3 linked regions of the Diceros bicornis minor genome follow. The protein of the gene in region 1 purifies or fractionates together with the protein of each later gene. This does not show direct contact. Links are inferred from orthologs where the notes say so. Each region holds a gene or a part of one and is shown in the gene's direction. Other genes may lie near its edges.

Region 1 (7,692 bases):
CTGGCACACAGACTCAGACCCAGGATTGGCAGTAGCAGGCAAGGCAGAGCAGAGCTGGCGTGCTTTCTTTGCAGACACCGCGCACCCCAAGGCTCCCAGCCCTGGGCACCCTCCCACCCGCCCGGCCGCCCACTCACCCTCGCTGAGGAAGGCGTCCCAGACACGCAGAACGGTGGGGAAGGGCAGGGAGCGGGCGAAGAGGCACAGGAACCACTCGGGCAGGTAGAGCAGGGGCCCGACGCCCACCTGCTGCAGGTGCTTGTGCACACGTGGGAGCAGCCGCCGCAACAGGGCCGTGAACACCTCAGCGTCCAGCTGCACGGCCTCCTGCGGCCAGTCCGTCAGCACCTCCACTCCCAAACCTCAGGCTCTGTCCCCTCTGTCCCGGGCCCCCACCCGCCTTCCCAGCCCCTCCTCCTGTACCCTTGGTCCCATCCCAGCCTCTCACCATGTGAGGCCCATAGTAGCCGGGGAGGTAGACCTCGCAGATCTGTACCAGGCACCAGAAGGCCTCCTGGGGGCAGGGCACAGGCTGTGAGTGCCCACACGAGGGGACTGCAGGGCAAGGGAAAGGGGCAGAGGGGAGGGCCTAGACACCATCTGGGGTGACTCTGGAGCCAGGAGCATGGACTTACTGCAGGGGGGGCTCTTACCAAATGCCTCCCCCGTGCCCAGACAGAGGCCTACCGATGGGTTTAAGGGGTTGGAAATCACAGGGCTCAGGGTGTTGAATTTGAGGGTCACAGGGTTGGGGTTCACTGGTCAAGGGTTGGGAGGGTCTCAAAGTTCAAATCCTGGCTCCTGGGGTTATTAGGGTCAGGGATCACAGGGTTCAGAATCGGGAGTCACGAGGTGAAGGTGATAATGCCAGACTCCTAGATCACTGGGGTAAGGGTAGGGGTCAAGGGTCCCAGGTTCCTGGAGTCAAGGTGGTTGGGCTTGAAGAACACTGAGGTTGGTGGTCATGAGGCCCCAGGTCACTGGGACAGGATCTGGGAGTCAAGGATCCCAGGTCCCTGAGGCCAGAGTTCCTGGGGTTGGAGGTCATGGGCCCAGGGCACAGGATTACAGGGTCCCCAGGTCCCTAGGATTGGGGATCAAGGGTCTTAGCTCCCTGAAGTCAGAGTCCCTGGGGTTGGGGGTCATGGATCACTGGGTCCCACTGGGGCTGAGGGTTCAGTGTCTCAGGTCTCTGGAGCAGGGTCAAGGGCACTCACCTCCGGGGGCAGATGCATGAGCAGCACAGCCGCCACAGGGCCCTGGGCCTGGCAGTAGCCCTGTTCAGGCCGATACAGGGTGTAGGCCTTGAGCACTTGCAGGAGCCCCTGCTGCCTGTGCCAGAAGACCCATTTGGGGCCAGTCCTCTGGGCAGCCCTTCCCACCCTCTGGCGGCCTCTGCCCAGGCCTCAGCCCCCTGCGCCTTGCTGGGTCCCCTGAGATGCAAGGCTATAAAGGGGTGGGGGACTAGGCCGACGTGCCTGGGGGTTGTGGGGCTGGGGGTCCCTGAGCATCACTGGCTTCGTACCCGTGACCCTGGGGTGACACAAACATCTCGTGCAGAGGGAACTGGCGGTGCAAGTCCCTGCCTATGGTCTCCATCCACTGTGGGTCTCCAGGGGCCTCAGCCAGTTCCTGTGGGTGGGCAGGAAGATGAGTGTGAGGGCTCAGAGCGGCGAGGGGCTCTGGGAAGGGGAGGCAGGACCCCTGCCACCCCCCTTACCTGATAGGTGCCAGGGCTGTTCTTCTGACACACATGGGCCCCACACAACAGGGGCCAGCAGCGGGCCCGCAGGGCTGAGGGGATGCCTTTCCGGCACTGCATCTTTACCTGTGGGTGAGGCCAAGGGGCCCCATTAGGCCAGCCAGGCCAGCCTCACCGGGCCGTGTTGGCAGGCCCCAAGCACAACTTGTCATTGGGCAGGGGCCCACTTTGGGTGGTAGGGAGAAAAGGCAGGAGGTGCTGGGACACAGGATGGGTAAATTTTGCTGGGGCAGGGGCCGAGGCAAAGGGGAATGAGCCGAGGAGGCCTGCGTGGGGCCACTCTCCCCTCACCTTCTTGTATCGCCGAGACATGGTTTTCTCCCAGTGTGAGGTCATCTCCACCCACTTCATTTCCCGCTGGCGGATAAGGTCTGCAGGAGGGTGACTTGGTCTGGGGGCACATGGTACAGGCATCCAGGTGCTGGGTAGCTGTTACCTAGAGCCCATATCTGCCACCCTCTATGGTACTTGGGTTAGCCCAGGTCCTGGCCCTGGAGATCTCTGGGGACCCCTGCAGGGTGATCTGTCACCCAAGAGTTGCCAGTAGTTGTCATGGGGACAGGAAAGAAAGTGGCTCCCATGTGGGCAGAAACAGGAAAGACTGAAGGGGGTGTGTAGGTGTGTGTTGGGGGAGGGGCTGGTTGGCTGTCCCGCATGATAGGGACACAGACAACTCACAGGGGAAGCTGGGTGGACAGAGCCCCGGACTAGAAGCCAGAAGCCCCGAGTTTGAGTCTGGTTCTGGCTCTGATCTGCTGTGTGACCTTGGGCAAGTTCCTGTCTGTCTCTGGACTTGTTTTCCTGTCTGTATATTGGGAAAGGGTGAGGGTGGGAGAAGAGGTTCTATGATTTGGATCTGGGATTCCTGGGCCAGAGATTAAAAGGGGAAGGGTCAGCCCTAAGGGTGGGTGCACACCCTCAGAGGCTGGCGGTAAAAGAGATATACAGGGACACCCTACCCACAGTATACAGGGACACCCTACCCACAGTCCTGCCACCCTTGGGATTCCACCTGGAGCCTGAGGAGGGGTGGCACTGGCTAAGTTCCTAGATCCTTCCAGGACCCTTGAGGTTGGGCCTCACTCTAGAATTCAGCCCTCAGCCCTCATCCTCAATCCCAGCACCCCAGCACCCCATTCCTGCCCCACTTACCCTGGCTCTGCCGAGCTGCCCCCGATGAAGCCATAGCGGTCAGCCTGGCGGTATGGGCCGGGCCCACTCAGCTCTGAGTCAGACCCCAAAGAACTGGAGTCATCCTGCAGCTCGCAAGGCTGCACCAGGTCCTCCCCCAGGGCCTGGGCCATGGTGCCCCCGGATGCCACAGGCTGCAAGACGTGGGGAGAGCCAGTGTGAGAGGTAGCTCCCAGCCAGCCTGGGGCCTGGGCTCCCATCCAGCCAGGTCCCAGCCCCAGGGCCTGGCTGCAGCATCAGAGGGGGGAGATTTCAGGGTATTTCACCAAGCCCCCTCTGTCCCCTCTTCTGTTGCGGGGGGCTGGGCCCTAAAGTGGCAGAAAGTCCAGGCCTCTGTACAGGAAATAGCCCCAGGCCCAGCCCCTGTCCTCACCAGCCCAGCTTACCTCCCGGTAGCACCTCACCTCCTCCTCTCACTTCCTCCTCAGCCACAGCTTCAGCAACCCACTGGGGGGCCCCTCCCAAGGGTGTAGAGGGGGTGTCACCCCTTCCTCTCCGAGGCTCTTCCGGCCTGCCCCAGTGCCCCTGGGCCATGGGCTCCTCCCACCCTCCCCATGGGCTGGGTGGCTGCAGGCTTGGGTTTCTGTGCTGCGTGTGATGGGGCCAAGGCCTGCAAGAGGCAGAGAGACCAGGCCACCTCCACTTTTGAGGTTACTGCCATGTAAAACACTCAAATCAGGGTTCCAATAAGAATTATGGTTTTGGGGCCGGTCCTGTGGCGTAGCGGTTAAGTCCGCGCACTCCACTCCGGCGGCCGGGGTTCGCAGGTTAGGATCAGGGCGTGCACCCACACACTGCTTGTCAAGCCATGCTGTGGTGGCGTCCCATATAAAGTAGAGAAAGATGGGCACGGATGTTAGTGTTAGCCCAGGGCCAATCTTCCTCAGCAAAAACAGGAGGATTGGTATTGGATGTTAGCTCAGGGCTGATCTTCCTCACACAAAAAAAGAATTATGGTTTCTTTAATGTTTATTCTTTACGAAGTAATACTTTTAACACACACACAATGCAGCATCATTATGCTACTCAGAAGGCAATGATGGGACTTATAAAAAGTAATAATTAGTGTGCACCACAGGCAGTGTGGACCAAAATGGGCTCGCAGTGCTGCGGCAGCTGCCTGGGTCTGCTCAGCGCCTGGGGGCCAAAGAGACTCACGAGGTAGAGGTCCTCGGTGAATGCGAGGCCCCGGTCTTGGACCAGCCCCTCGCTATATCTGAAGCTGTTTCCTTTTCTGCACTTCGAGGACTTAATCTGCAGCGTTCGGGGAGACCGTTATCATTGTGCTCACACCGCCCCCTCGCCCAGAGTAGGGGTGGGAAGGACTGTTTAGCTTTTGAAAGATAAAAACAACTTCCACAGTACTTCCGGCCCCATATCCTCTCTAGGGGCCTGGGTGATCCTCAGGGGCGGAGCCAGACTCCACCCTGCCCCACAAGGCCCCGCCCACCTACCAGGCCCCGCCCCAGAGACGCCGAGCCCGGCCCAAGCCCCGCCCACAGCCGAGGCCCCGCCTCCCGGGCTGCTGCGCTTGGCGTCCTGCGGAGGCGCTAGAGCGCTGGGGCAGCGGGCGGGGCGGGGCGGGGCGGGGCGGGGCGGGGCCTCGGTCATAGGACGGGCGGGGCGGGCGGCCGAGGAGGCGGGGCGGCGGGCCGGGGCGGGCCGGGATGGCGGAAGGAGCTCCAGGCCGGAAGGAGGCAGCGGGAGGGCGGGAGGCAGGAGCTGGCCCGGAGCTGCTGGGCCGGAGCGGCGGCGCCGCCATGTCCGACAGCGAGAAGCTCAACCTGGACTCTATCATCGGGCGCCTGCTGGAAGGTTGGCCGGGGCGGGGGAGGTCGGCGCCCGCCGCGCCCTGGCCCCCTGCCCGGCCCGGAAGTGGCGCGCGGGCGGGCCTGCCGCTCCCAGGGCCAGCTTAGACTGGGCGGGGACGGGCCGCGAGGGCCGCGGCCGCCCCCCCACTGGCGACGCGCCTAGGAGGTCTGGGGCCGCTCCGGCACGGGGAGCAGCCCCCTCTTCTGGGCCAGGGGCGCACGGGGTGGCTGGGGCTCTTGGGGCGAGGGTGAAACGTGAGAAGCCCAGCCCCCCAGGGAGGGGTCCTGCGCTATGGGGTTTGGGTGGCAGGCCCCTGCGCACAGCAGCCCCCTCGAGTGACTTGAGGGTAGTTGGGGTCCCGTCCCGGGAGGCTCAGCAGCAACAGCTGCCCCTGGGCAAGGAGGGGCCTGGGAGCCTCCAGAAGTGCTCCTGGGGCCACCCGTGTCGCCCACCCTCCTCCTGCCTGAGGGGCCAGGGTCCTGACGCCCCATTCCGCCCCCAGTGCAGGGCTCACGACCTGGAAAGAATGTACAGCTGACGGAGAACGAGATCCGTGGTCTGTGCCTCAAATCCCGGGAGATTTTCCTGAGCCAGCCAATTCTTCTGGAGCTGGAGGCGCCCCTCAAGATCTGTGGTGAGCCCCGTGCCCAGGCTCCTTTGCTTCCTGCAAGTGGCATTGGCCCCTAGAGTCCCTGGATCCCTTTTCTTGAGCCCAACCCTGGCCCTGGATTCAAGTCTCTACCCTGCACCTAGTGCTGACCCCGGTTCCCTGGGTCACAGGTGACATCCACGGCCAGTACTACGACCTTCTGCGGCTGTTCGAGTATGGTGGCTTCCCTCCAGAGAGCAACTACCTCTTCCTGGGGGACTATGTGGACCGGGGCAAGCAGTCTTTGGAGACCATCTGCCTGCTGCTGGCCTATAAGATCAAGTACCCCGAGAACTTCTTCCTGCTCCGTGGGAACCACGAGTGTGCCAGCATCAACCGCATCTATGGCTTCTATGATGAGTGTGAGTGGGCTGGGTGTCTGGGGCTGCCCAAGTCCTGAAGAGCTCTCCCCGCTATCCAGTGGGGCCCTCACATTGTCCTGGTGGTAGGGATATCAGTGTCTGACAGACACCTGCTGGACTGCGAGCTCCGTGAAGGCAGGGCCCTGCCCTCCTGGCCTGGGGCCTGGCACTCGGGAGGGGTCTGGTGAATGGTTGCTGACTGAAGAGCTGACCATATTTTCATGCAGGGCCCTGCCTGCTAACACTCCCTCCGGCACATCCGTTACTTAAGCACATAGGATGCCTATCTGGACTGGACTCTGTGGGCCAGAAGCTGAGATAAACCAGACCTGGTCTTGGCCTGGCCCTGCTCCTGCTCACGGGGTGGGTGCCAAACCTGAGGTTGTTCCAGATTGGAACTCTAGGTTCCTGTGCACTCAGCTGCTTTAGAATTCCTCTTAGAAGGCTGGTAGGCAGTGGGGTGGGGTTGGAGGTTTCCCTTCTTGCCTTCCACTCTCTTCTCCCAGCTGTGTCTGAACAGCCCACGAAGTGCCTGGGAGGGCCCAGAGACCCAGGCTGAGGGTCAGGCAGACAGGCCTCCTCATGAGCCATCTCCTTACTCTGGGCAGGCAAGAGGCGCTACAACATTAAACTGTGGAAAACCTTCACCGACTGCTTCAACTGCCTGCCCATCGCTGCCATTGTGGATGAGAAGATCTTCTGCTGCCATGGAGGTGAGGGCGGCTCTGGGGTACCTGCTGAGGGAATGCTTGGGGAGGAGGAGCCTGGCCACATCCCTGGGGGCCTTGGGATGAAGAGAGTGCCTGGAACAGGTCTCCCTGGCGTCTGGGCTCGCATATCCCTTCTTCCAGGAAGTCCCCCTGCACCCCAGTGTTAGGCCGCACTCGCTCCCCTGTTGTGGCCTCAGCATCCAGCATGGAATTCACTTGTCTCCTTTCTCCAGGGAGCTGTGTGCTCCCTGAGGGCAGGGACTTGAAGAGGCAGGTGATGAGTTCTGCCTGCCTGGGCTCCCAGGAGACAGCCAGGTGGTACGGGGGAGGCAGAGGCTGACTGCACATGCTGTCTGGAGGAGGGGGTCCTTGTTTTGAGGCTTATTTGAGGAAGCGTCCTATGCTCTGCACCCCCCAGGCCTGTCCCCCGACCTGCAGTCGATGGAGCAGATCCGGCGTATCATGCGGCCCACGGATGTGCCTGACCAGGGGCTGCTCTGTGACCTGCTGTGGTCCGACCCTGACAAGGACGTGCAAGGCTGGGGCGAGAACGACCGTGGTGTCTCCTTTACATTCGGGGCTGAGGTGGTGGCCAAGTTCCTGCACAAGCACGATCTGGACCTCATCTGCCGGGCGCATCAGGTGGGCTGGCAGCTCTGGGCCGGTGGGAACGGGGCCTGGGCAGCCAGCACCTGCTGAACTAACCGCCCCCATCCTCCTCCAGGTGGTAGAAGATGGCTATGAGTTCTTTGCCAAGCGGCAGCTGGTGACACTTTTCTCAGCTCCCAACTACTGTGGCGAGTTTGACAACGCAGGCGCCATGATGAGTGTGGACGAGACGCTCATGTGCTCCTTCCAGGTGGGGCTGGGGAGGAAGGGGCTGGTGGTCCCTGGCGTGGCCCCGTGAGCTGACCAGCTTTGTCTCTCTTAGATCCTCAAGCCCGCCGACAAGAACAAGGGGAAATACGGGCAGTTCAGTAGCCTGAACCCTGGAGGCCGGCCCATCACCCCACCCCGCAACTCCGCCAAAGCCAAGAAATAGCCTCGGTGTGCCCGCCCTCTGCCCCAGATGGTGGATTGTACAGAAATCACACAGCCGTGGGGCGTCACACTGGCTCCCCAGGCCTACCCATTATGGGGAACGCGGAGCCTTGGTGTATTTTTCTTTTTTTTAATGAATCAATAGCAGCGTCCAATCCCCCAGGG
Region 2 (7,227 bases), on another chromosome or scaffold:
ACCCTAACTGAAACGTCGAGTCTTCCTGGGTCTTGAGCCTACCAACCTTTGGACTGAAACTAAATCATCAGCTCTCCAGCTTGCTGACTCATCCTACAGATCTTGAAATTTGCCAGCCTCCATAACTCCATAATCGCATGAGCTACTTCCTTATAATAAATCAATCTCTATATCATCTATATCTGTATCTGTATCTATATCTATATCTATATCATCTATATCTATATACATCTCATTGGTTCTGTTTCTCTGGAGAACCTCAACTAATACAAGATTTTTTCATATCAGTCCGTCGAAAACTTCTTCTGTTTTTAAAGCCATCTAAAATTCTATTGTCTCTACCAAATTTATTTAATCAGTCCTCTATTGAAGGACATTTGAGTTGTTTCTAAACTTTTGTTAATAACAATACAACAATGAATAACCTCATACATTCCTAATTCAGTATTGTGTGCAAGTATATCTGCATGATAAATTCCAGAACTGGGATTGTTAGGTCAAAGAATACACTCATTTGTATTCTTGATATTGTGAAATCGTCCTCCACAAGGGCACGGCTCAGAGCAGAGGCTGAAGACTGGTGGCCTGCTGCCCTGCTTTGGTTTCCACAGTGTTGTGTTTTTACAAAATTAATTGCTAATTTTTATGCTGATGAGGATGTGAAGCAACAAGAACTCTCATACTCTGCTGATGGGAGTGTAAGTGAGTACAACCATTTCAGAAAACAGTTTGGCGGTTTCATACAAAATCAAACCTATGCCTATGCTATTGTATCAGTTAGAGTTCAATCAGAGAAGCAGAAAGGATTTGTTACAGGGATTTGACTTCAGGTAACTGTTCAACAGTCTCTGTAAGTCTGTCGTTTTTGCATCTGATGCTGGAGCTTAAAGTTCACAGGTCAGGCGGCTGGGAAGGGAAGATGGATATAAAGTGTAGGAGAGAAAGGACAAGCTGGAATCCGCAAGGATAAGCTGGAACCCTTGAGGACAAAAGGGACCTTATGTCAGTTCCCACTGCCTGCAAACTTGATGATGTCAGTGTCCTGCAGGAAAAGCTGGTGCCCTTTGTTATCTGGCCCCAGGAGTCACAGAAGCTGAAGGAGGATCCAGGGAAAGGTGGAGCAGTTTCAGGCCTGGCTGCTACCCCATATCAGTGAGGTGAGCAGCAGATCAGCAACAAAGTGCACGGGCTACAAAGCTCCTGTCTAGACCTTGCGAGTGTAAAAGCCAATACAGCCACTGCTTTTCTTCCACCCTCCATAGCTCATGCAAAAGTGTCTGTTGTGGCCCACCCTAACTGGAAACATACATGGAAGAGAATTCTGGGAAATATAGTTTACCATAGCTAAGTTGACACATTATAAAGCCACCACAACTATGTTCCCTCAATTCCATTCCTCAATATATACTCAAGAGAAATGCAGACATATATTTACCAAGACTTGTACTAGAATATACAATACAGTATATACTATTTTTGTGTCAGGCTTCTTTTGCTCAATATTGTCTGTGAGAATCATCCATATTGTTGCATGTATTCAGTAGGTTGTTCTTTGTCATTGCTGTATAATATACCACTGATGAATATAGTGCAATTTATTTATTCATTCTAACATTGGTGGATGCTTGGGTTGTTTCCAGTTTGGGGCTATTACAAATGGTGCTGCAATGAATATTTGTATACATGTCTTTTGGTATAACTAAGAGTGGAATTGCTGGGTCATAGAGTTGGCATTTATCAGCTTTATTAGATACTTCCAAGCAGTTTTCCAATGAGGTTACAGTTGTTTAATTTTTATTAAAAAGAATAGAATCTGGAATATCATGTGTTTGGAGCTGGAGTGGATGTTTTACATGTGCTTAACCTGTTTCCCTAACCTGGATTTGCTCCTAATTCCTTCCCATACTGCCCTCATCTCCAGGGAGCCTGTGACTTCCCTCAAACAGTTGTCTGCCTCTGGTAAGGCCCTTTGCACAGGAAGTCCCAGGGCCTGGGGACCACTTTGATGTTGGCACACCTTCTCTTTGGTACACAGGCCCACTGGGCCGTGATGGGGGAGCCATCTACCTTCTACTCTGACTTCTTCCTGGTTTGAAGAGTTTCATTTCCTCTGGGAGGTTTTTGGGAACCATCGGCACTTACTGTGGCCTTGGGGCTTTTCCCGGGAGCCTGTAGTATCCCCAGGCATGGGGAGCTCTGTATTACAGGTCCTCCCAGTTGGCCAGTCAGCCAGATTGCCCAGTGCCTGGGAGTGCGAGGAGTGTTAGGCAGACACAGGAGACCACAGTTCTTTTTGTGTGGTACACCTCCCACTCTCAGCTGTGAGTGCCTTTAACTTCAGGGCCTAGCACAGTAACTTGCTCATTATATACACTTAGTAAATATTTGTTGAAAGGAGTTGACAATTAGGAAATAGCCCCAGGCAGTGCACAGTTAGCAGCTAGTCTGTGTGTTTGAAAGAGCCTACACTAGGGATGGGTTTGAGAAGTTGGCTAAAAAGATGTAAAAAAGGCAGGCCTTAACCTGGTCTCCAAGGGAGCGTGAGTTTTGCCCATAAGAGGAGAGTGGGAAGGGCATTCCAGGTGGGAAGGTAGCATAAGGAGGGTATCATGAAATCAAATGTCTGCACAGACCCAGAAGGTAAAAAAAATGTGACAAAATAGGGATTGGTGGGGCATATTGATGTGCCAGCTTTTGGTGACAGGTTGGAATGTGAGTCCATGTTGTTAGATCTCCTGATATTTCAAAAGAAGAGGAAGAGAAGAAAGAGGAAGAAGAGGGAGAAGAGGAAGAATAATTAGAATTTTAAAAAGCTTCATGTGAACTAAACAAAATACATCAGCAGCCTGCTTTGGGCCCAGTGTCTGCCAACTTCAGACCCTGAAGAATAGAACAGACATGGGAATACAATTGGGGGGGAGCCATAGTGAGGCGCATGGAACGGTGGGGTTGGGTAGTAAGAAACCACCTGGCTGGGATCAGAATGTGGAACTCTCTCAATGCCCGCGCTAGAGGGCAGCATCTCAAATGCCAGAGTGTGCACGAATCACCCAAAATTCTGCTAAAAAGTTTGTGAAGCTCTGCTGGAGACAGTCCCAGAGCAGGGAGCGTGTTGGAGCAGAGGAAGACGCGGTGGAAACAATAGCTCAGGAAGACTAATTTGCCAACAGCGTGCAGACCAGAGACCAGAAGATAGGTTAGGGGCCACAAGGATCCAGCGGAGGGTAGGAGCCTTGGGGGCTCCCCAAAGAGCGACCTGGTCCTTCTAAAAGAAAGCTGGCCCTCAGCCGCGGCATGCCCTTTCTCCCCTGGTTACGTTGGAAGGAGGGAGCCGCGTGCTCCGGACGGTTCCTCGCGGGCACTTTAGGGGCAGCGAAATGAGGGGTGGAGGGGGTGTTGTTCAAGGGCACCTAAAGACCTGAGGGCCACGCCTCTCGCTCTCAAGCCGTGCGCCTGTGCGCACATCCCACCCGGCGGCGCTTAGCTAGGCGCATCCCGCTGCCATGGCGACCGCCTCCATGGAGACCGGGAGCAGAGGCTGCGGTCCCCAGGGGCGCCGGCATAGGTTCTCTCAAGCCCCCAACCCGCGTGCCTTCTTTTTTCTGATACTTATCCCGGCCGCTGGGCTCCCAGGAAGCGTCTCAGGTCCGCGCGGGAGCGTTTCCTCCGAGGCAGGGGCATGGGGTGGAAGGGGAAGAGGCCGAAACCCGGCGGTCGCAGAGCGGGAAGGATGGAAAGGACCTAGCGATGCCCGTATCGATTGCCGATGCAGGCCTGGAAGCCTAAGGAGAAAGGCAACCTCATATGCCCCACCTAGCCCTGAGCCCTGCGTTACAGCCGCTCGAGGGAACAGAGCCCAGGGGACGGCCCCTTCCAAGTTGGCGCCGAGGCGGGAAGTGCAAACTCCACAGCTGCAGGTGGGAGGCGGGCGGGGCCAATTCGAGACACTCCTCCCTTCCCTCTCTCCCTTCTGCCCCATGCTGGCCCCTGGCCAAGACGGGCGGCCCGGCTGTCTTCATCGCGAGAACTCGCCCGGGCAGGCGTGGGCTCGCACGGCGCAGCCGCAAAGCCCCCTGCACGTGACGCAGTGGCGCAACGCCCGTTGGAGGTTCTCTAGCGCCCACTTATTGGTCCGAAGCCTCCTCGCCCCACCCCTTCGATCGACCAATGGGTGGAGGCAGGGGCGTGCCCGTGAGGAGGGCGGCGGCGGCGCGGGGGTCCCTCCTGGAGCTCGGCGTTGAGCCCCCGCTGCCGCCGCGACCGCCGTAGCCGCCGCGACCGCCGTAGCCGCCGCTGTTGTGTTTGCCCGTCCCGGCCGCCGAGTGCTCCCCGCACGGTGAGACTGCTCCTCCTCCAGCCACCTCCCGGTTCCACCCGGCTCCCTGAGATCCCCTCCCGGCCGAGCCGCTGTCCTAGGCAGTCGGTGCCTGAGACTCCAACGGGCCGGGGCGGGGCTCCGCTGTCGGGGCCCGGCCCAGGAGGGCTCCGTGGTACCTGAGCTGGGGAGATGTCAGGCCCCGGGGTCACGGGTGACGGTTAGCTGGTGGAGCCGGGGTGTTTTCCGCGGCGCGCTGTCGGGGGCACGTGTGACACAGTGAGGGCGGGGGCGTAATGGGGTCAGCGCCGTCAGCACCCCCCTTATTGTCACCACCTCTCTGTGTGAGCTTGGACGAGTAGCCTCTCTGAGCCTCGCGTGCCTCGGCACCCTCAGGGAGGAGAGCGGTGATGTCGGGGAGTGCGGCCTCCCAAGATTCCTGCGTCAGCAGAGGTGAGGGTGGGGAGGGCGCAGGATTATCTCTGAGGGACAGAGCCGCTGCCTCGAAGTCCAGGATGAGTGTGATGGGGGGAGACACGTCCAGCCGCCATCAGTCCCTTCAGAAGATGAGAATGGGGCGGGGATGGGAACGCCACACCCGCGGGGATGGAGGCGGGAGAGGATACAGGGTCCTACACCGCGATCCCTGCTACCTCTAGGGGCTTGGCCAGCACCTCCGCTTTGTCACGCACCATGAGGGGTTCAATTTAGGTTCTGGACCACTGTTCCTGTTGGTGAGCAGGAGCCCTGTTGGACTGAGAAGGGAGGCCTTAGGTTGCCTTTCTTCTTGAATCTTGGCATTGGGAAGTGGGGGCAGGGCATTTCTCTGCCCTGGGAGCTAAGAAGGTCAGGGGCAGCTGTCACCCCCTACACCTGGCCTGGCCTCTACTTCTTGGGGCCTCCAGGTGACAGGCCCAGGGCGGGGCCTGGGTGGGGCAGGCCCGTAGAGGCTAGAGGGGTCTAAGCACCCTCTAGCTGGGGCTGTTGGGGGGTTGTGGGGAAGGGATGCTGGGCAGGCAGGGCAACACTTCTTGGGGAGACAGGAGAGTGTAGGATGGTGGGGATCCCTTACCCAGGTCACCCCTGATCTATCCACTTGTGAGAGGGAGAACACGCATACTTATCTTTGCACTTCTGGCATGCTGGGCGGAGGAGGAAATGGAGTCACATCCAGACTGAGTTGATGTAAAGCTACCACAACCACACCTGACCTCTGGCCTTGCTTTTCTAAGCTTTCTTCTAGTTTGCGGGCCCCCACTATGTGCCAGCCCCGTGTCAAGGTCTGGAGTCAGCAGGTCAGCTTGGCCTCAGTGGGTGCTCTTTTTACAAGCTTGAGCTTTAATGAGAGGCTGGACACTGTTTCTGCTGGACTGAGTCCTTAAGCCTGGACTAAGCCCTGGGCTGGGGTTGGGGAGGGTGGAAGGTTGTGGAGTTCCTGGCTCAGAAAATCCTTGAACAGGCTGAGAATGGGGATTGAGGAATGGATGAGAAACGAGGCCCCTAAAGGCTGGGGGTATGCTCCCAACCACAAAGCAGAGGACAAGCTGGGGCTGGCCCTGTGATGCCTGGATTTGGAGGCTGCCTCTGGGGCAGAGAAGTGGTGTGGGGGTGCACCTGTGGGGTGGACAGCCAGAGGGTGGCAGGTTCTGGAGCTCCACTTTGCCATAGACAAACTGTCTTTGGCCCTCCCTCCAGTCTGGAGCCTTGGGCCTAGAGTAGCAGCTAGCCCTGTGGGGCAGGAGTCTAGGGGGCTGAGAACTCTGGGTTCCTGTGTTACTGTCTGTCTGTCTGCCCACTTGCCATGTCCCTGGGTCTGCTCCTCAGGCCAGAGGCTCCACTGGGCCTGGCTGAACCGTGTCTAGGGTAGGGTTACCTCAAAGCAGCCTTTCTCTCTAAAGCTGAGAGGGACCTGAGCTGGCAGCTTTCTGTCTCCCAGAGAGAAGGCTTCCCTAATTTCCCTGAGAGTAACTGAGAGCCAAAGAAGCCCTGCAAAGCCCTTGTTCCAGCTTTCCAGCCCTCCCCGTCGTGTGACTGTCATGATACCACTCCTGACTTGTTGACAGCCCATCTAAGGGGGGGGGGATCTTTTTTTTTTTTTGCCGGGTGGGGGCATTTCCCAGGATGTACATTCTTCACATCTTCCTTGTGAGTCCCTCTGGTTGGGAGGGACAGTGGGCTCCCAGCAGTCTGCTCTCTGGCAATCCCTGGGGACCTGGCTGGCCTGAGAGTTGGGGAGGGGGAGGGAGGCCCCTCAACACTTGAGCTGTTTTCTGAGAAGGCAGAAATCCCTGGGGCCCACCCTGAGGGCCATTCCTGGCTGTTCCAGGATTGACCTGAAGTGCCTCTCCATCAGTGCTGCCCTGAAACGGCTGTTGCTTTGGAAACCAGGCCTTTGGGGGTTTGCTTTTTGCGAAGGTGGGGGTGGAGTGGGGAGCATTGTCACAGAGCTTTTCAGGCATCAGCTGCACTGAACCCTCCGAGGAAGAGGCCACTGCTTATTCCTGTGTTACAGGTGAGGAAGCTGAGGCACAGAGACGCGAAGTAACTTGCCCGTGCAGCCTGAATTTGAACCAGAACTGCTGGGCTCTGGACCTATGCTCCTGACCTTGTCCCTGCTGCCTCTAGGGGGCTGTGCGGTTTGGGCCATGCTCAGGACTTGGCTGGCACAGGAAGAGGCCTAGGGTTGCCAGGGGGCCTAGCGGTTCCCTGTAGGCACAGTTGCAGCAGGAGGAGGCCTGCTTCTGATGAGGAATTATGTTGGACAAGAGTGGCTCCCAGGGGACAGTGACTCGCAGGGCTCTCTGCTGGCAGGGGACAGTGACTGGAGGCTTGCTTTTTCCAGCCTCCTCTGGGCCCCTAAAGTCACTTGCCTCCCCTCTCTGTGTTCTCACTGCCACAGGGTTACAGGCAGT
Region 3 (7,975 bases), on another chromosome or scaffold:
GCCCTTGTTTCACTGTACCTCAGTGTTTGCCTCTGGAAAATGGGTGCAAATGTCCTTATGGGAACACTGTCATGGTCCAGAGGATGGGGAGAATGTGCAGGGAGAGGGGGCGTGGCTCGATCCTCCAGAGCTTTGCAAGAGCTCTGCTAGGTACTTGACACTGGCCCTGTGGGTGAGGGCTTAGATGAGAAAATTGTGGCTCAGAGAGGGTAGGGACTGGCCTGAGGTCACCCAGCAAGTCAGCGACAGAGGAGCTGGGAGATAGAGCCAACAACCTGCAGTGATCTGCCCGCAGGAATAGCTGGGAAGCTGCAGCCACGCCTGGCTGTCCAGCGGCTTGGGGAGTCTCTGGCTCGGATACAACGTGAGAGCCCTATAGCAGGAGGAAGTGGGGTGATGCACGTGGTCCTGGCACAGTGCAGGCCCCCAGCATCATAGAACTAGACGCACAGCGGGAGGGACATCGCAGAGCAGCTGGTCCACTCCTCCTCTTTGAGAAGGAGTAGTTTATAGGGTAAAGTGCACTCTTGGGCTCAGATGGTCCTGGGTTCAAATCCCAGTTCATTCGCTTGTGACCTCAGACAAGTGACTTGACCTGCGTGAGCCTCAGTTTCCCCCTCTATAAAACGGGCTAGAGTGTTCCCCCCTCACAGGGCTGCGGTAAGGATTGCACGAGACAACCCACGTAAAGCCCTAGCACGTGCCGGGTACACAGAAAGTGCTCCCTTGACACTACTCTTTGTTAACAATAATCATGGTCGCTTTTGCATGGGCCCTGATTTCTTGCCGCATCATAGCCTTTCAGCCATGCATGGTGACTTCCCCTCCCCGGGGGGGTCGTCAAGGAAGAAATCGCAGAGCTTGGCCCCAGACCTGGTCAGCTGCCATCGCCTCACTGACTCGCAGAAACATTCAGCCACCACACAACCCTCCACTGGCCACACCAGAGTCCTTGGGTGTCCACCAACCTCCGAAAACTGCCCATAAGTTCACACTCGGTGACCTGAGCTTCGTGGAGACAAACAGCCAAGCCAACGGGCATCCATGTTAAATCCTAGAAGGGCTCACGACACCGTCTCAGAAGGGCTCACGACACCGTCTCATAGGGTCGTTATGATCATCACAAGAGGGCTGGGTTAGAGTCCTGGTGCATACTGTGTGCTGGGTAAGTTGTAGGAGGTGATGGTTATTATTATTCTTGTTGTTCCTGCTGATAACTATCAGCCCCATGGAGGGGCCACCCTTCCTCCCGTGGCTCACAAAGCCCTCCTCAGCCCAGCTCCGTTACCTGACTGCTCTGTGACTTTTCGCTGCTGTTCAGTGCCTCTGCAGTATGTTCCAGCAATAAGGCATGGCTGTATCTACACACACACCTCACTGTGGTTCACCTTTGGGCCTTGGCTTGTGTTGTTCGCTCCACCTGGTGTATCCCAGCCATCTCCTCTCTTCTCCTCAATCTGATAAACTCCTACTTGCTCTTCAAGATTCACCTCGGGAGTTACCTCTTCCAGGAAGCTGCTCCCAGCGCCTCAGGATGCTCCCATAATGATGCATTCTGCTCATCTCTGTTGTGGTACCTACACAAAGCATTTACAGTGCATATATGGTTGCACATATAGATGCATTTATGTATAAATACTTATCTAATTATGCTTGTGTGTTCAGTAAACCAATGAATGAAAGTGACCTGAGGCAAGTCATTTCCCTTCCGGAGCTCAGTTTCCTCATCTTCAAAACGAGGGGCTGACTCCATTGGTCACTTGCCAAAGGGTCGCTCATTCACTCAGCAAACATCAAATGATGCCTGCTCTGCGGTCTGTGCTCAGGGTCCAGGCACAGAGGAGAATAAGACAGCCCTCCCCTCCCAGTGGGAAGACAGTCTGCCTACCACCAGTATGCTGTTATCATTTCCCAGTCTCACAGACCCGGCGTTCTGGAATATTTTGTCTACTATGGGTTAGTATACTGGCTCTCTCCCAGCTGGCTCTCAAAAACATTTGTGCAGCTTTAAATGGAGATACACAGCCCAGGAGATCCTAAAGAAAAATATTGAGGAGTGGTGGTGCATCTTCATTTTTTAAAAGACCCACAGCTACTTTCACTGGGCAGCTAGAGAACTACTGTTAGAGATCCACGATTTGGTTTTACTGTCTTCACGACAAAGCAAAGCTTATCATGACCACGGAGCTGAAAAAGCAGACGCTTGACATATCGGGTCCTGGCTCAGCTACAGCGTCTGTGGGATGGTGAGAGTTCTAGGGGGCTTAGCACCTCTTGCTGGACCTGGGGGACGAGGGCCCTTAGGGAGGGGGTCTGGCTTGGACGGTCCCTCTTGCTTCAGGCCCCTGTCTCAGCTCTGGGCCCACCCACCCTCCCGCTGTCCTATTCTGATCTGCCCAAGCCTGTCCAGCCAGGGTGCAGAGAGCAGAGTCTCCCTCAAGCCACAGGGTAGCCTCGTCCCAGCACCTTGTCTGCTGCACCAGGGGGGTGTCAGAGGTGCTCTCGTGGGTCCTGGCCGGGGCACTCTCGGTCCCACTGCCTGTAGACGATGCAAAACAAACCCTGCCTGGATGGAGGCTTTGTTTTTCTCTTGGAAAGTTCAGCTGAAGCTGCTAGCCCTGGAGGATCAGGAGACGGAGCTGCAGGCCACAGGAACCACTTGGGGCCACAACAAATGGGGAGGGGCCACAAGCACAGTGTTAACGTCTCAGTGACTTTCCTAGCGAGCCACAGTATCCTATGCTCATCCCTCCCTCTCCCAGGAGCAGCTCTCTGCAGAGGCTTTGCTCTGTGGGGAGCCTCCAGGGAGCTATTTAATCTGGCTTCCTGGGTTAGGAAAGACCTGCAGCCTCCCCAAGTGTGAGCTGAAACCCCTTCCCTCTCCAAACCCAAACTCAGGCTGCGCTGGGCTCGGCCTGCGGAGCACAGAGCCCCGGTGAGGAGGATGCCCCTCCACCCAGGAGCCAGGAGCTGGCTCACCTGGGCCATGTCTGGGGGACCCTCAGCACCCCTGGGCTTGACCCTCAAAGCCATGCCCCTCTGGCTCATCGTCTCCCCATCCCCCTCTCCTGACCATCCACCTGGAGAGAGGGGCGGACAGGTGGGGAATGAGGTACCAAATCTGCCCCTCTCTGCACCCCCCCACCCCTTCTCCACATACAGGCCACAGTGAGCCTCTTAAAAGGCACATCAGGTCATGTTGCTTCCTGCTAACCCCCCACTGCTCTCCCAGCTGCCTTCCAATCATGCATAACCTGTCCCTCTGAGCTCATCTCTCATCTCTCTTCCTTGGCCCACTCCCAGCCCCACTGGCCTCCCTGGAAGAGGCCACTAGGGCCTCGGCACTAGCTGTTCCATCCGCCGGACTGCCCTTCCCCTTTATCTTTGTCCTTCCTGTCACTCAGATCTCAGCTTAGATGCCCCTCCTCAGAGGACCTCCCTGACCACGGGATCTAAAGTAACTGATCATCACTTTCTGTGACAGCAGCTTGTCTTAATCCCCTATCCGGCACTTACGACAGTCTCAGTTATCTAATTTGTTTATTATCTTCTCTCCCCTCCTTCCCCTAGAGTGCAAAGTCCCCCCAGAGGGCAGTGGCCTTTGTTGTCGTCCCCTGCAGAGCCCCCCAGGGGTCTAGCACAGGCCTGGCTTAGAGCAAGCACTGGGTACACAGTTGTCGAGCGAATGGTTGAGCTGCTGTAAATCAGGACACCAGCCGCGGCGCGGGCGCGCGCTCCAGGCTGTGGCCGCTCACGGTCGAGCGCGCGGGTTTTATCTCGTTGGGGATACCGGGGGAGGGACGCCCCCCACCGCCCGGCTCGCGGCAGACGCGTCGTAAACGCGCTTCGGGGACGCGCGGATAACGAGACAGACTCAGGCTGTGGGAAGACTCGCGTGCCGGGCGAGGCTGCCGGTGGTGAAGGGGTTCTGTGCGGCTCGGCGCCCCCCGACCCTGGCGTTAAGACCCCAGTAGGAGACTTTGCTCCACCCTCCCCAGTGGTCGGTCTCCACCTCGCGAATCACAGATTCTCCCCCGAATTCCCGGGACGAGTGGTCCAGTTGGCGGGGGAGCGGTGCTCTGAACGCCGCTCCGGGCTAGGGCAAGCTCCCGGCGCCCTGGCCCCCTCCGGGCTGAGAAGAGGGTACGGACCGCGCTCGGGACACGGTTGGCGAGGCCCTGGCTCTCCCCGTGCGCAGACGCCGGAGCCACAGCCCCGGTCTGGAGTAGAACCGCAGCCTCTCTGCGCGCTCCGGCAGGGGACGAGGGTGGAGGTGGGGGCGGAGGAGCCGGGGGCAGAGAAGGGGACAAAGAGCTGCCCTGCCGCCGGGGAGAGCGACCCCTGTGTCAGAGTCCTATTGTTCCTCGTATCTCAGACTATGCTGGACTCTGGTGTCCCCGGGAGGGAGAAGGGGAGCTGTCCTCCGGACCGTGGGTACAGTATTTGTCTATCTGGGGCGGGGCAGGGCGGGCGGGGTACGCGGGCCGGGGAAGGGGCTCGGCGCCCATTTCCGCGCGTCTCCTTTAAGGGAAGCCCTGCCCCACCTTTCCCACCTTCCCCCTCCCCGAAGCCGTACCTGCATTTTAAAAGCTCCCTGTAGCCCTGGGATTGGCCAAGGCCGCGTCCTCCGGGCGCAGAAACTTGAACCGCCGGGAGGGGGGTTGGAAGCCCAGGGGTGGACTGTACCATCTCGGCGGCGTCCCCTGCGCGCGCCCCGCCCCTCCCACACACCCCCGGAGAGGCCCAATCGGACGGGCAGGAGGGCGGGACCGCGGCTCGAACGCGCCTCTGGCAGGGCGCCGAGCGGGCGGGCGCACGGAGCCGGGGGACGTCGGGGGCTTGTGGCGCCTCTACACCCGCTCGCTCCCCCGGAGGCGGGCCCGGGCCGCGGCGCCCCGCCCCTCCCCGCCCGGAGTGGGCGGGGCGGCCGGGGCTCCGGGAGCTGGGCGGGGGGCGGGCCTCCGCCTGCTTCGCTTCAGCCCGGAGAGCACCCGGCGCGGCGGCCGCCGACGCAGCTGCGGTCCCCGCTCGCCGAGCCCCAAGACGCGCGGGTTCCCGGGCCGCCCGGGCGGGCGCTGCGTGTGGGCGCGCGAGGCAGCGCAGGGAGGGCTGCACGCGCCCCCGGCCGCCCCCCGCCCGCGCGCGGACCGGCCCAGCGCAGCACCGGCGCGGGGAGCGCCGGCCGGGCGAGGGCGCGGGCGATGCCGCGGTGACGGCCCCGCCATGGCTAAACCCCCGGCGGCGACGGCGGCGTCGGAGGAGCTGAGCCAGGTGCCGGACGAGGAGCTGCTGCGCTGGAGCAAGGAGGAGCTGGCGCGGCGGCTGCGGCGCGCCGAGGGCGAGAAGGTGGGCCTCATGCTGGAGCACGGCGGCCTGATGCGCGACGTGAACCGGCGGCTGCAGCAGCACCTGCTGGAGATCCGCGGCCTCAAGGACGTGAACCAGCGCCTGCAGGACGACAACCAGGAGCTGCGGGAGCTCTGCTGCTTCCTCGACGACGACCGGCAGAAGGGGCGCAAGCTCGCGCGCGAGTGGCAGCGCTTCGGGCGCCACGCGGCCGGCGCCGTGTGGCACGAGGTGGCCCGCTCGCAGCAGAAGCTGCGCGAACTCGAGGCGCGCCAGGAGGCCCTGCTGCGCGAGAACCTAGAGCTCAAGGAGCTGGTGCTGCTGCTGGACGAGGAGCGCGCGGCGCTGGCGGGGGGCGCGGGCGGCGCGGGGGGCGGCGGTGGCGCGGGCTCCCGCAGCTCCATCGACAGCCAGGCCAGCCTGAGCGGGCCGCTGGCGGGCGGCGCGGCGGGCGCGGGGACCCGCGACGTGGGCGACGGCAGCAGCACGTCGAGCGCGGGCAGCGGCGGCAGCCCGGACCACCACCACCACGTCCCGCCCCCGCTGCTGCCCCCCGGGCCGCACAAGGCCCCCGACGGCAAGGCTGTAGCCACGCGCAGGTCCCTGGACGACCTGTCGGCACCGCCGCACCACCGAAGCATCCCCAACGGCCTGCACGGTAAGGACAGCACGGGCCGGGCCGCGCGGGTCTCGGGGCCACAGCCTCTTCCTCCGGGGGCGGCCGCCACTCCAGACCCCTTCTCCAGCTGGCATCGGAACCCTGGGCAGGGAGATGCCGCGGCCACCCACAGTGGGGCTTTGGGTGGTGTTTTTCTGGTCAAGTGGTGGAGGCGTGTCCCTGCCCAGCTCCTAATCTGCAGCCCGCATGGGACCTGCCAGACCCCAGAAAAGTTTCTCTTCTGTGGAGTTGTCATTATCAGTGTCCAGCACCGCAGGGCTGGCTGGGGGCACTTCATTCCAGCCTTGGAGATCCTTGTCTGGGAGCGGGAAGTTCTTCATGGAAAAACATGAAAGGTCCTCTGAGCGCAAGAATTTCCCTGTAATTTGGAGCAACAGGCGGCCCCCAAATCTGAGCAGCGGCCAGTGTGTGCCGTGGCTGGAATGCCACCTGGGCTTCCCCGGCCCTGTCTGCAGTGATGGGAAGGAGCACAGGCAGCCGGGTTGAGAAGGGGAGGCAGCTGGGTCAGAGGACCAGGGCTAAGAGGCTTCCTGGTTTGCTATGAGTCCTGCACTGCTCAGGGTGGAGGGAACTTTCTCAACCGAGGCTTGGGGACTTTCCAGGGGGATATGTGCTTGGAATGGATCTTGGCTTTTCTTCTCTGCCTGCCTCAGTTTGCTTATCTGTAGAATGGAAATGATGGTTCCTGCCTTGGGGATTTGAGGTGGAGATAAAGCCCCTGAAGGGATTTGTAAACTGTTGGTCGCCTTATAGGAAGTGCCACGGTGGTCAGTGGGAGGACCTTTGGCCTTAGGAAAGCCCAGGTACTGTCTTCCATGCCTGAGACTGTTGGGCCCAGTGCAGAGGGCCCCCAGCTTGGTCTGTGGAGCAGAGCAGCCGGCTATCATGCCCAGCCCTCAGTCAGTCCCTCTCCTCCCCGCTGCCTCGCTCCTCTCCTGCCTCCCTGTTCTTCCACATTTTTGGTGGCTTGGCTCCCAGTTCTGGTGGCAATTGCTGCTGGAGGTGGAGATTAAACAGCCCTTTCTGGCTCTTTTAAAGCCTTTCCTCGTTCAGAGAAAATGTATCTAGGCCTTAAATGACTGTGCTTCCCCAGGTGACAGCCTGAGCAGGGGAGAGACGCTGGGTCTTTGGTTTGGTGGCCAAGTGGCCTCTGCAGGTGCCCTGGAGTGGGGGCTGCGGTGGGCACTGGGCTGGTGGAGGTGGGATGCTAGGCCAGCACAGTTTTTCCTAATACCCTCCCAGCTTGTGAGTTCAGGGCAGGACTGGGCTGAGAGGGGTATTTTGTTACTGATTAGCAATCTACCGCTGCAACTCTGGTTTCTCTTTGTAACTCTGTATCCACCCCACCTCCCACCACAGGCTCCTTAAGGCCAGTCTGGGTAGCTCAAAAGTTAGGTGGTTTAATTTGTTGGGGTTTCAGGGTCTGGGGAGTGAGGTCCCAGTCCCAGCCTCTCCAGCCTTGCCTTCTTGGGAGCTTTGGGAGGGCCAGATTTCTGGGCCCCAGTTTCCCCAAGTACAACACAGAGGAGGGGATTGCTGCAGTCCTGGGCCTGGGAAAGGAAAGGGTTCTGGTTTTCAGCTGTGTCATAGTGACACTTGGCCAGAGTGATTCTCTGCAGGGCACTGAAGTGCTTGAGTGTCATAGCGTAATCTGCAGGAAGTTCTGTCGTGTTTTGGACTGGGAGACGTGGCCCCTGTCTGGCCCAGTGTTTCATCTGCAGCAGTGAGTGGTGCAGGACTGGGGGACTGGGCTCCACCTGAGGGTTTCCACCCCACTGCGGGGTGGGAGGGTTGAGGTGTAGGGTTTCTTGCAGAATCCATGCCCCTCCAAGTCCCACGCATACTTGGAACAGGACTGCTGTAGATTTTGTGGTGGCAAAGCTTTGCTTTGGGGCGAAATAAAAATTCAGCGTCATCACAAATTTCAGTTACAGATGGGGTTGTTATTGT

What was found. The genes of interacting proteins can lie anywhere in the genome.
Region 2: the proteins of PPP1CA (region 1) and ADISSP purify together in Homo sapiens (affinity purification with mass spectrometry; 4 studies listed by BioGRID and IntAct, counting the BioPlex papers as one, with this or other methods). This does not show direct contact. The link is inferred for Diceros bicornis minor from reciprocal best matches to the Homo sapiens genes PPP1CA and ADISSP.
Region 3: the proteins of PPP1CA (region 1) and CCDC85C purify together in Homo sapiens (affinity purification with mass spectrometry; 4 studies listed by BioGRID and IntAct, counting the BioPlex papers as one, with this or other methods). This does not show direct contact. The link is inferred for Diceros bicornis minor from reciprocal best matches to the Homo sapiens genes PPP1CA and CCDC85C.

Annotation. Positions count from the first base shown.
Region 1 is NC_080770.1:6,127,321-6,135,012, forward strand, and holds the start of PPP1CA (serine/threonine-protein phosphatase PP1-alpha catalytic subunit), read left to right. Parts: upstream 1-4,644; 5' UTR 4,645-4,713; coding exon 4,714-4,768; intron 4,769-5,267; coding exon 5,268-5,399; intron 5,400-5,545; coding exon 5,546-5,776; intron 5,777-6,384; coding exon 6,385-6,489; intron 6,490-6,904; coding exon 6,905-7,128; intron 7,129-7,210; coding exon 7,211-7,345; intron 7,346-7,417; coding exon 7,418-7,528; 3' UTR 7,529-7,692. Other genes in the region: TBC1D10C (carabin), read right to left, coding at 138-327, 449-514, 1,218-1,332, 1,526-1,632, 1,721-1,828, 2,054-2,153, 2,915-3,153. UniProt on the Homo sapiens protein: Protein phosphatase that associates with over 200 regulatory proteins to form highly specific holoenzymes which dephosphorylate hundreds of biological targets.
Region 2 is NC_080758.1:32,165,084-32,172,310, reverse strand, and holds the start of ADISSP (adipose-secreted signaling protein), read left to right. Parts: upstream 1-4,227; 5' UTR 4,228-4,336; intron 4,337-7,227. UniProt on the Homo sapiens protein: Adipocyte-secreted protein (adipokine) that acts as a key regulator for white adipose tissue (WAT) thermogenesis and glucose homeostasis at least in part through activation of protein kinase A (PKA).
Region 3 is NC_080763.1:44,739,540-44,747,514, reverse strand, and holds the start of CCDC85C (coiled-coil domain-containing protein 85C), read left to right. Parts: upstream 1-4,975; 5' UTR 4,976-5,223; coding exon 5,224-6,004; intron 6,005-7,975. UniProt on the Homo sapiens protein: May play a role in cell-cell adhesion and epithelium development through its interaction with proteins of the beta-catenin family. May play an important role in cortical development, especially in the maintenance of radial glia.